Linked DNA regions of Tamandua tetradactyla. The protein of the gene in region 1 interacts with the protein of each later gene in a pairwise test. Links are inferred from orthologs where the notes say so. Each region holds a gene or a part of one and is shown in the gene's direction. Other genes may lie near its edges.

Region 1 (3,747 bases):
CGTTTAAAAAGTTTTAGTAGGTAAAATACGTAAAGTTAACAGAGCCCGCGCATTTTAAAGATAACGGGCAGAATCAGAAGGTGAGGGTCTCCGTATGCAAATACGTGAATTACAAATACTGCACACAGGCGACGGCCGCTTCCGCACTTGCGCTACTGCGCGCACCCGGACGCCCGCCGGCGCGGGGGCAGCGATTTGCATGTGCGAAATCGGGAAGAGGGGGAACCACCTATCAAAAACCCCGGACCGTCCTCCGCCCAGCTCAGGTGGGCCGGCCCCACTTCGCCGCCCGCCCCGCCCCGAAGGGCTCCCCGGCGGCCGGCCCTCTCGACGTCACCGCCTCGTCCCACCCGCTCCTGAACTTTAAACCAGGCAGAGGAGAACAATCTGGAGGAGGGGGATTTCTCCGGAGCCCGCGGCTTCCGCACGCTCGAGACCGTCACCTCCTGGCTCCCGTCGTTCCCTGCGCTCCCAAAGATTCTGCATTCCGGGATCCGGGGCTCCCGCGACGCAAGTCCCGAGCCCGCTGCAGAAGGAGGACGCACGCGCGGGGGCGGGGAGCGGGCGCGGGTGGCAGGGGCGGGGCGGAGCGCGCGCTCGCCGCGGGAACGCCCTGCCCCCGGCTCCCGGGGGAAGGCGGTGGCGAGGGGCCGACGTCAGCCGCGGGAAATCCCCCTCCCGCCCTGCTGTCCGCCTCCTCGGCCCGGCTGGTTCTCGGCTCTCATCGCGCTCCGCCCCCTGCCCCTGGCTCCCGCACCCAGGACCGGCGACGCTGGGTGACCCGGAGCGCGAGAATCAAGGGGGTGGGAAGGTGTGAGCCGCAAACTCAAGGGAGGGCGGGAAGAAGAGGAGGGTCCGGGGGTGGTCCGGCGAACTGGGGGTCCCGCCGGCAGAGGTTCCGCGGTCGCCTGACTGACTGACGGGCTGATTGGCTTCGGCGGCCTCCTGCCCGGACGCTTGGGGTTGCCTGCGGGTAGGCGCGGTGAGCGGAGCCATGGCTTCGGGTGAGTGTTTCAGGCAAGGGGGACCGAGGGCCGTGGCGCGAGGCCGGGCCGGGATGTCGGGGCAAGGGCTCAGGGGAAGGAGCTCGGCCGGGGGGTCTTCCTCCTCTGACGGTGGGGGCTTAATGAGGTGGAGGGTGCGGGAGCCTCTTGGTTTCCTGAGTTTGGGTTGTAGCTCATTCTGTCTTTAAAAAAAATCGCCTTACCTGGCAGATTGTCAAGCGTTTAAAAAAGTTTCCTGGTGCAGGGTTTGCGTGCAAAATCAAAGCCACGCTCTGTAATTTGATACTATTATAATAGCCGGAACCTTAGAAATTCCTAACGGCTTGATTTCAGAATTAGGGAAGGAAGACCCTAAATCAAGGAGGACGCGTCGTGCTGGCATTAAAAACTGATTTGTACTGAAATGGTAGTGTTAGATTTTAGAACAGGAATGAGGAACCTTCAGAGCCGGGAATAAATTTCAGATGTCGAGAGGTGAACCCAGTTGTGCTGACAGTTGTACAATATGCGGCGAGGCTTTAAAACTTGTCAGTGGTATTTGTCCTAAGTGGAGATGTTGCTTCAACAACGTGGGGATGATTTTTACTGTGAAATAAAGTAGGCTTTTAGTTTACCGAGTTGCCCCCCCCCCCGCCCTTTATTGAAAGTAAGGGGAAAAGAGGATTTTTATAGTACTTGTGCTTCCATGATATGGATAGGAGTAAAAACAACTTTATATCACTTATGTAAATGTTTATTTCCAGTTAGTAAATGTTTGAAACTCTTGTTTCGGAGGAAATGAGTTTAGTAGGAAACAGTTTACGGACAAGGAAGGGAGTCTCAAATCTACAAGTCTGCCGAATAATCTAGGGGATAGATTAAGTAGACCGCGTTAGAATTGGACCTTTGCCAAGATTTTGGTCCGGTGGATGGGGGCAGGGTCGCTTTCCAGGCCGAGGGAGCACCTGAGAAGACGCTGGGAAGCCTAAAACTACAGTTAATACTGTACTGGGAGGCTGGAGAGGAGGGGGCTTGTTTATGCTCGACACCCTCCCCCCCTCCGATTCTCCCAACTTTGTTTCAGTGACCCTCAGTAGAAGGCTGATGTCTCCTAGAGAAGAGGAAGTAGAAAGTATAAGGGACCTTGTAAAAGGGTTGAACTGAACAATGCTTAAATACTACGGTAGGCTGAAAAGGAAATAGGGGTGTTTCACATGACATTTGATTTCAATTTGTCTTTGTGGTTTTCATGTGAGAATACAAGTATAGTTTAAAATATTTCAACTTTCCCTTTACCCACTTCAGTGACCCCAACTTTCAGATATTCTTCTAAGTTCATAAATTCAAAGCACATTTAGACTGAAAGTACAAAGATAACTTTAAGTGTTTGGCTAATTTATTGGTTATCAAAAAAGAGATTTTGTATGAAAGTAGTAAAGAATGGTGATCGTTGCAAGTAAAGAATGTCAGGCGGCTGTCGTTTTAATCAAACTTTATTAATTTATTGCATGAATGTATTGTAATACTTCTAATTCTTTCAAAAGAGAAAAGAATTGGCCATTTTTATATAGAGTATTATAAGACCACATGATTTAAAAGTGTGCTTTTTAATGATACTATATCTTTTTAATGATACTATATCTGCTTTTATGAGGACTAAGAATTACCTAAATTGGAGGGGCAGGGAGGAATTTGAAAGTTGAAGGGTGATTTTCTTCTTTTTTTTGCTTTTTTTCAAGAGTTGCATTAAAATGGGATTATTTAAAATTTTGCAAGTTGTTTAAAAATGTAATCCAGTGTTTTGAAAACTGCTAGGCCTTACCGGATGTCATATGTAAACAAATTTTTGTAATTGAAATATATGCTCTGTATAATGTAAAAGTACCATAGATCATAATCTCATAAGCAAAATTAGTTGAGTGTCATGAGGAAGATAGAGTAACTGGGACTTTGGTAGTGTATGTGATTCTGAATTTTGTTCAGATCAGTCATCAGGTTAATTATTCAGGGTTTCAGCTCTGTCTCTAGTAACTGTTTTTCAATGCTTTGAAAAAAAGCAAAACAGCCACAAAGCCTTGATTCCAGTCTGTGGACACAATTAGAATAGCATTGTGAAGAAAAATGTTCCTAAAACTGTCTAAGATATGTATATTAGACAATTATTACTTTTTTTGTATTTATCATTCTTTTTCTATTGAATACAAGTAAAATTAGCTATTTTATGTGTGAATTCAAAACTTTTCATTGTTCCAGTAAAAGAAGCAAATTGTCTTTGTGTGGCTTGTGGCTCTGTTTACTAATAACTAGCACCATCTTTAATAAAACATGTTTTAAAATTTAGATAATTTTTTTATTAAAAAATTTCCTTAGTAAAGTTTTGCTATGTCACATAATGAAAGAACTACACAAAGAAATTGTTTCTGTAAACTGTACTACTTTACCAACTCTTTGATTATAGTATGAATTTCAAGGCAACTTTTTTTTCCTCTTGGGTTGTAGATATGATTCAACTTATTTTTAATGCTAGAGCTGGAAGTTAAGAATGGATAGCTAAAGCAAATTATTGTTTTTTTAAGTAAAAAACTGTCTATGTAAACATAAATATTGTTTCAGAAATGCAACATGTGGAAGGGTAGAGATAAATGATATAAAAGAATTAAGGTGATATATGATAGACAGAGTGGAGGGAAAGAGTGAATGAAATAACTGGGGAGGAATAAGATGAATCATAATTAGGAACATCTAGGGTGGTGTCTTTCTCTAA
Region 2 (3,747 bases), on another chromosome or scaffold:
CAGGCGGGCAGCCACCACCCACGCCTCCCAGGCTAGGGGAACCGGTAGCCCCCGGCCCTCCTGCCCACTTCCCTCCCGCAGCCATGGCTCCTCTCAGCCCCTCTGTCTGGCCTGTGGCCACCAGCCCCGGGCCTCCCCAGGGCAGGGCCTGGCGCCTGTGGAGCACGGACCGCAGGGAAGGGCTGGAGAGGACACCTCGGCGTGCAGGGCCCCGCACCTCGCAGACTGCCTGGGACTCGCCCCCGTGCGCCCCCAAACCGCAGGAGCGCCTGTCCCTCCCGGACTTGCTTTGTCACTTTGTCAGGTGGAAGAGAAGGCATCTTTGTGGATTCCCTTGCTGTGCCTTCGAGGGCCCTTCCCTGGCTCCCTCGCCGCTGGTTGCTTTCTCGGGTGTAGTTTCCTGTTGATTCGCCGTCTCCAGTGGGCGCTTTTAGGACCATTTAAACGGGCCGCTTGGGCTGTGAGCGGCGGCTGCTGGCCCGGCTCTGCAGGGAGCTGGCGTCCCCTTCTCAGCCTGCACCGGCGGCTCCCTCACGACTGAGAAGTTCCCCGTTTCCCCCAGTCCTCTCATCCTGTTCTTCTGCCCTTAGGTTTCTAATCCATTTGGAATCCAGCACAGGGGGAGTGTGACTCGCCTTCTTGGGGGGCCACCGGCTCTCCGCGTCCTGCGCAGCGCCCTCATGGACGCGGGGCCCCGTCTTTTCCTGGGAGGGTCGCGGCACCCCGAGGCCCGGCCTGGGCGACCAGCCAGTGGGGTGCGGGGCCGCGGGACTCAGGAGAGAAGCGGCAGCCCCTCACATAGCACGTGGGGAGACCCCCGGCCGCGCGCCCCCCTCTCCCCACCGGGTCACCGCCCTCGGCCCACCCAGCCGCTGCCCCCGCGCCCGGTCGCCCTCGCCCCTCCTCTCGGCGCCCCCTCCGGCCCGCAGTCCTTCCCGCGCGCCCCCGCCACCTCTACGCCCACGCCACGCGCGGCCTCCGCGCTCCCCACGCCCTCCGGCCACACGCGCCCCCGGCACCCTCGCGGCGCCGCCGGGCTCCGGGCGGGCGGGGCGGGGCCTCGCAGGCGGAAGTGCCGCGGGCGCCGGCGGCCGGGACCGGCACGACCATGGGAGCCCGCCGCAGAGGCTGCGGCGGAGGCTGCCCGGGCGGCCGCGCGGGCGGGAGGCCGGGGACGCGGGCCGGGTAGCGCCAGGCGGAGCGCGCCGCCATGGGCCGGCCTGGGACCGGGACCGGGGGCGCGGCGGTGGCGGTGCCGCTGCTGCTGCTGCTGCTCGCTCAACATCCGCGCGCCGCCGGCCACAGCAGGAGGAGCGGTGAGAGCAGCGCGGGCCGCGGGAGGGGCGGCGGGCATTGTGACCCACCCCGGGCCGCGGGCGCCCTGGCCCCAGCGGCCGGTGGAGAGGACGCCCGCGCTGCGCTGAGTCCTAGGGCCCGGCTGCCCCACCGCCCTTTTCCTCCCAGGCCCTGTGCACTGGGTGGAAAGGTGGAGGGGCCCGGGAGGGGCTGAGCCGGCCGCTGGGGCAAGGGGGCGGGCCGTGGGCCTCCTGAGCCGGTGAGGGGCTGAACTGGGGGTCATCCAGACCTGGACTGAGGGCTGAGCCGGGCTTGCTGCCTGGAGGCTGGACATGATCCCTAGTGGCTCTGTGGGCCGATTCCACTGGGTCAGGGTCTGGCAGCAAGGGCTGCCTCTGATTTGGATTTGCTGGGTGCCGTGTCCACTTCTGTTCCTTGTGGTCCCCACCCTGGCCTGAGACCCCAGGAAGGGGCTAGTGCAGACACTGCCATCCTGTGAGGCTCTCTTGGGGCAGGGATACTGAGCCCTGGACCCAGGGGGCCAAGTGCCCTCCCGGACCCCTGTGACCTGGGATTCCTGGAGGCCACACAGGCATCCCGGCCAAGCCTGATGCCCAGGTGGCAGTGGGCACCTCACCATCTGGCCCACTGCCCCTCAGACCCCTAAAACCATGCTCCTCTGAGCTCCTGTCTCTTCCGGGCAGTGCCTTCTTGTTTCAAAGCTAAGCACAGCTCGAAGTGAAAGCACCCCTGCCCCCCGCTGAGGACAGCACTCCTGATAGCACTGCTTGCTCCACTTTCTCCCTCCCAGAGTCCCAGGGTCCCAGGGTCAGGGGTGCTGGCCGGCAGGGTGGGGAGGGCTTGGAGCTGCAGGTGCTCATGAGCTGCTCAGTCCCTCGTCCCCGAGGCCCCGGCTCTGCTTGGGCAGGGGCTGAGACAGGATGCCCCACACTCGGCCTCCATGACAGGCCCAAGGACTTTCTCCCCACCCCCCCCCAACCCTGTGTCCCTGAAGGTGCACAGGGTGGGGCTTCAGGGGCTGGGGATAGGGTGGCCTGGAGCGGCTCTCCTCTCTCGGGCACCTGCTGAACTTCCCAGAGTGAGCTGAGCCCCTCCGCCCCACCTCCCTATACCCTCCGCCTGCCCTGCCCTGCTCGGCACTGGGGGTCTAGCTGGCTGTTTTTCCAAGGCCCTGGGGTCCAGGGGCACGGCCGGGTGTGGCGGGGCCGCCATCTCAGGTCCCAGCACGGCAGGTGTTGTCGTGCCTTCTGAGGGGCAGCCTTCCGTTTGCTCAGCAGCTCCCAGCCCCCAGGTGCACAGGCTGGTTGGCAGGACCCAGGGGCTGCAGCCGACGGGAAGCTGAGGCCCACTCCAGCCTAGCACTGACTGACTTTTGCTGACGTGCTGTGATGTCCTTGCCATGGGGTCCCGAGGCTGTGACAGAGGGACAGCGGCTCACCTGCTCCCTTGCCTGCCGCCCCGAGCTATGCTGCCGGCTCGCAGAGGGGAGAGCCCTGGCAGGAGGGCGAGGCCTTGCTGTGTCCACACATCTCTCCCCAGGGCCTGTCAGCATCCGGGAACCTTGGAGGGCGGGCCCAAAGGGAGGGAGCTGTCCGCTTGTTCACTTGCCCACCTGCGAGGAGCCTGGGCCAGAGGGGAGGGGACGGCCCAAGGTCACAGGAGTGCTGGGCTGGCACCAAGGCCGGGCTTCTGGCGTCCTGCCCAGGCCCTCACAGATCCCAGACCTGGCACCAGGAGAGCCCCCAGTGGGGTGGGAGGTCTTGGGGAGGCGGTGTGGTCCACTCGCAGGGCAGCTTCCAGTGTGGGTCCCAGGCTCCTGCGGTGGCTGCGTCCCGGTCAGCGGTGCTCCCAGGAGGGACCCAGCCCAGGGTGGGGCCTCAGGTCTCTGGGCCGAGTCCCCACGGACAGCTGAGTAAGCCACAGAAGTGCAAGGGAGTGAGCGACGTGTGCAGACCCTGGGGGGCTGTCTCCTCCGGGGACCCTGGGGCAAGTCGCAGGGCTGCAGGCCCAAGAGCTGCTTCCAGGACTGGGCCACGGGGACCCTCAGGCTCGGGCTGGGCCCAGGCAGTTTTGCAGATTCTGGCTGGTTTGGGATTTGTGGGCGGGTTTGGGGGTCCTGGGCGGATTGTGGGCTGTGGGCAGGTGTCCTTGCAGCACACAGACCAGCTGTCCCCTTGGCTCCATGTCTGGCCTATGCCTGCTGCCTGGCTGGGTGGGCACAGGGGCACCAGGTGGACGGGCGGGGGACCCAGGCCCCAGCCTAGCAGGTGGAACTGCTGGGGACATACAGTACGCGGGCGGTGGCAGGTGTGGGGGAGTATGTCGCAGTGTCAGGGGTCCGAGGTAGGCACGGGGGCGGGACTGCTACCTTGAGTCTAACCGGCGCCTTCAGCTGTAACCTATCTCTGGAGACCTCAGGGCTGCGGGAAG
Region 3 (3,747 bases), on another chromosome or scaffold:
ACTATGTGTTTTATATGAGGCAAGTTATCTTCATCCCTATTTTACAGATCAACTTTCCTGAAAGCCCTAACTTGTCGGCCAGAGAGTCTCAGGCAAGCAACGTATATATAAAGATCCAAATTAGAAAATTCTTGATTCCCAAAATTAATTTGCAATGAAGCAAATATCTAAATTTAAAAGTGTCAGTGACTACAAGTGTCAACAAATATAAAAACTGACTCTTGGAAACATCAGATGCAGAGATACCCTAAATTTCTTCCTTCAGAGAAATTTTATTTCCTATTTTGTGCAAAAGCTTCCAACTTCTAGAGGACAAAGATATTAACGTGTTAGCTAGCAGGGGCTTTGTGCAACCACCCCATAGCTCACTCACCCCTCGATCCTGAGGAAATCAGGCATCTTGTTAGTGTGAGACGAAGAACCACTCCATTACAAGATCTCCTCCGACCCAGGAAGCCAAGGAGTCAGGGCTCAAAGGCAGCTCTGCAGCTTCACCCGAGTCCTTCGTGAAAACGCAGCCTTCCCACCGGTTATTATGCCCTCACCCGTGGCCCAGGCATGGCTGCCTTTCCCCCAGCCCAGACCGACAGGCAGTTCTCCCGAAGCGAGGCCGGAGCTTGCGCTGGAGCGGAATCTGGACGGCCCGGTCGGCTTTCCCCGCTCAGGCTCCGCTGGGATGGACCCGGGGACTGAGTTTTGCTCCCCAGATAAGGACGGGGACGTTCTGGATAAGTATGACTTTTCGGCTGGGCCCCGGGAAGTATCTAGAGGGCCTGACGGGGAGGTTGAGGTCTCCAAGAGGAAGACAGAGAAAATACCCCCATCTTTATCACCGGTATCCCCGCCACCCAGCGGCCAACGGCCTCGGAGCTCCCGGTAACCTCCCCTCCAAACGCCCTCCCCACACAAATACACACAAACACACCCATACCGTGCGCCGCAGCCTCGCGTGGCGGGGGTGGGGGGAGGAAGCGATCTGGGAGAAAAAGGAGGAGGCTTCCCTTTCAGGCCGGAAGTCGTGCTCCTGAGAAATTCTTCCCACCAATGGTTGGCACAGAGTGTGTCACAGATAGAATTTACAGGATACTCCAGAGGTCGATGGATGCAAGTGGGAGGCTGGCGCTTTTCTGGAAGAGAAGTGGGTCAGACCCGGCAGAAAAGTGAACCCACGACCGGAAGAGTGAGATTCCGGAACTGGAAGTAAGGAGAACTTTCTGACTGGTGCTTCCCGGACCCAATTAAGCGTTGCGCCCAGCCTGGTTACCCTGGTAACAGGCGCCGCGCTGTGTGTCAAGGATCCGAGGGAAGTGGATTCACCGGCCTCTGGAATGATTGCCCAAAGTTAAGTTTCCTATTTAGCCTTATCTCATACAGTATTCGAAGCCTCAGTCGGTGGTATGGGACTCCTCTCCAGTGGACGCGGAGGGAAGGAAATAGGGTAGGAGTGGGGGACGTGATATTCCAAGATCTAGAAAGGGTATTTTTACTTTCATTTAGCGTTTACCAAGTGTAAATCTATATATATATATTAGTTTACTCAATCCTGCAAGTAACTCCTTGAGATAGGCATTTTATTATCGTCTTCATTTTGAGAATCACCTAATATATATTATTAACAAAATATATATATATATTTTATATAATAATATATATATATATTAATATATATATAATATATATTATATATATATTATATATATATATTATATATATAATATATATTATATATATAATATATATATTATATATATAATATATATTATATATATAATATATATATATATAATGTGTGTGTGTGTGTAACTGCTCAAGGTCATCCATCTAGTGATAGAGCTAAGATTAGAAGCTTAACCTTCTGGCTCCAGATTCCATGCTTTTATCTACTAAGCTATACCGAAGTTTCCAATGGACCTCACCCCACACGCACCTCTGCCAACTCCAGGACTGGGGAGCCGGCAATTAAGGATACACAGGTGTTGGAACAGGAAGAGAGCCAGAAACCCAAACTGAAAGTGTCTCCTCTCCCATCTCTAGGCTTGTGAGATTCCAAATAGGGGTAAGGCCTTATCTTTGATGACTTGAGAATTAGGAAGGGGTGCTGAATAGGAAATAAGGAAAAGATAGCAGCGCTAAGCCACAATCTTTGAGACACAGATGTTAAGGTAGCTGATACCTGTCCTCCCTCCCCCCAAAGTAGAAATGACTTACCCACGCAGATTTTTTCCCCCTTAACTCGTGTCTTTCCACAGGTTTAAGAGACCTGTTCACCATCATTAATCATGGACGCATCCTCAAAGGGTCTGTTTACCCAAATTACTCAATTCTGGAACCTTCTAGATGATCTGGCTGAAAGTGACCCTGAGCGCTATGACAAGTTCATTAAATGGCAGCTGAAAGAGGGGAAACAGTTCTGTGCTGCCCCAGAACCACAGCTGTGTCTACAGACGAAGATCCTGGTGTGTAGAGTTGGTGTCATGGCTGGGAAAGTGCTGAACAAAATGATTCTGGAATAACCAGAGGATAGCATACCCTTAGCTATTGCCACATAAACACAAGAAAATTGAAGAGAAACTGCCATTCTAGAAAATGAAAAGTAGTGTGGAAGATTGTGTTGAGAAGTAAGAGTGGTATTCATACTTGTTATATTTTGGAGATGTCAAATGAGGTCTAGAATGAAAAGAGAAAGTAATGTAATAATTTAAAGGAGAATCATGGAATTGGAGCTTTTTCAAATAAAGATAACTGTTTAGTTGGTGCAGTTAAGAAGTGATGTGATAGGGTCAAGTGAAATAATCTACAATTATTAGATTAGATCAATTCCCTCCTCCCTCACCACATCTCCACCCGAGTTCCTTTCTGGGTTCAGTTACTGGATTCTTAGTGAAAAGACAGCAGCTTTTGGGAAATCAAGAAAGCAAGAGTGTAATTTATCAAAAAACTTTAACCATGTGGATTAAAAATAAATAATAGGGGGAACAAATGTTAAATTGAGTAGATTGAAATACTAGTGATCAATGAAAGGGAATGGTAAGGAGTATAGAAAAAAATAGGGGAAACAAAGGCTAAAATATATTGGGTAGATGGAAGTACTAGCACTCAATGAGAGGGAGGAGTAAGAGGTATGTATGAGTTTTTTATTTCTTTTTCTGAATTGATGCAAATGTTCTAAGAAATCATGGTGATGAATATACAACTATGTGATATTGTGAGTTATTGATTATATACCAAAAATGGGAATGTTTGTGTTTGTATGTTATGTTTAAAAAAATTTTTTTTAATTAAAAAAAAACAGTTTTAACATCTTGTGTCTGATACTCATTTTATCTACAGTATGGACAGATGAGCAAAAAATATGGATAAGAAATAAATAATAGGGGAACAAAAGTTAAAATAAATTGAGTAGATTGAAATACTAGCAGTCAATGAGAGGGAGGGGTAAGGGGTATGGCATGCATGACTTTTTTCTTTTTTCTCTTGTTGGAGAGATGCAGATGTTCAAAAAGATGATCATTGCCATGCCAGAGGACCCAGGTTCAATTCCCGGTGTCTGCCCATGTTTAAAAAAAAAAAAGATGATCATGGTGATGAATACATAACTATGTGATGATATTGTGAGCCACTGATTGTAACCACGTCAAGAACATTTGTGTGTTTGTTATTTATAAACAAACAAAGCAATTAACATGTGAAATGACTAACCTGGAGACTAAAATTCTACCTCTTACAATTCTGTGATGAGCTGCCTTT

Evidence for each region.
Region 2: the proteins of REL (region 1) and PGAP6 interact in binary tests that used the Homo sapiens proteins (3 or more experiments, as listed by UniProt). The two-hybrid records come from large-scale screens. The link is inferred for Tamandua tetradactyla from reciprocal best matches to the Homo sapiens genes REL and PGAP6.
Region 3: the proteins of REL (region 1) and PIH1D2 interact in binary tests that used the Homo sapiens proteins (3 or more experiments, as listed by UniProt). The two-hybrid records come from large-scale screens. The link is inferred for Tamandua tetradactyla from reciprocal best matches to the Homo sapiens genes REL and PIH1D2.

The regions. Positions count from the first base shown.
Region 1 is NC_135343.1:33,247,125-33,250,871, forward strand, and holds the start of REL (proto-oncogene c-Rel), read left to right. Parts: upstream 1-1,075; 5' UTR 1,076-3,747. UniProt on the Homo sapiens protein: Proto-oncogene that may play a role in differentiation and lymphopoiesis.
Region 2 is NC_135349.1:56,950,623-56,954,369, forward strand, and holds the start of PGAP6 (post-GPI attachment to proteins factor 6), read left to right. Parts: upstream 1-1,210; coding exon 1,211-1,316; intron 1,317-1,403; exon of another isoform or gene 1,404-1,555; intron 1,556-3,747. UniProt on the Homo sapiens protein: Involved in the lipid remodeling steps of GPI-anchor maturation. Lipid remodeling steps consist in the generation of 2 saturated fatty chains at the sn-2 position of GPI-anchor proteins (GPI-AP).
Region 3 is NC_135334.1:29,180,799-29,184,545, forward strand, and holds the start of PIH1D2 (PIH1 domain-containing protein 2), read left to right. Parts: upstream 1-1,231; 5' UTR 1,232-1,340; exon of another isoform or gene 1,341-1,438; intron 1,439-2,247; 5' UTR 2,248-2,279; coding exon 2,280-2,456; intron 2,457-3,747.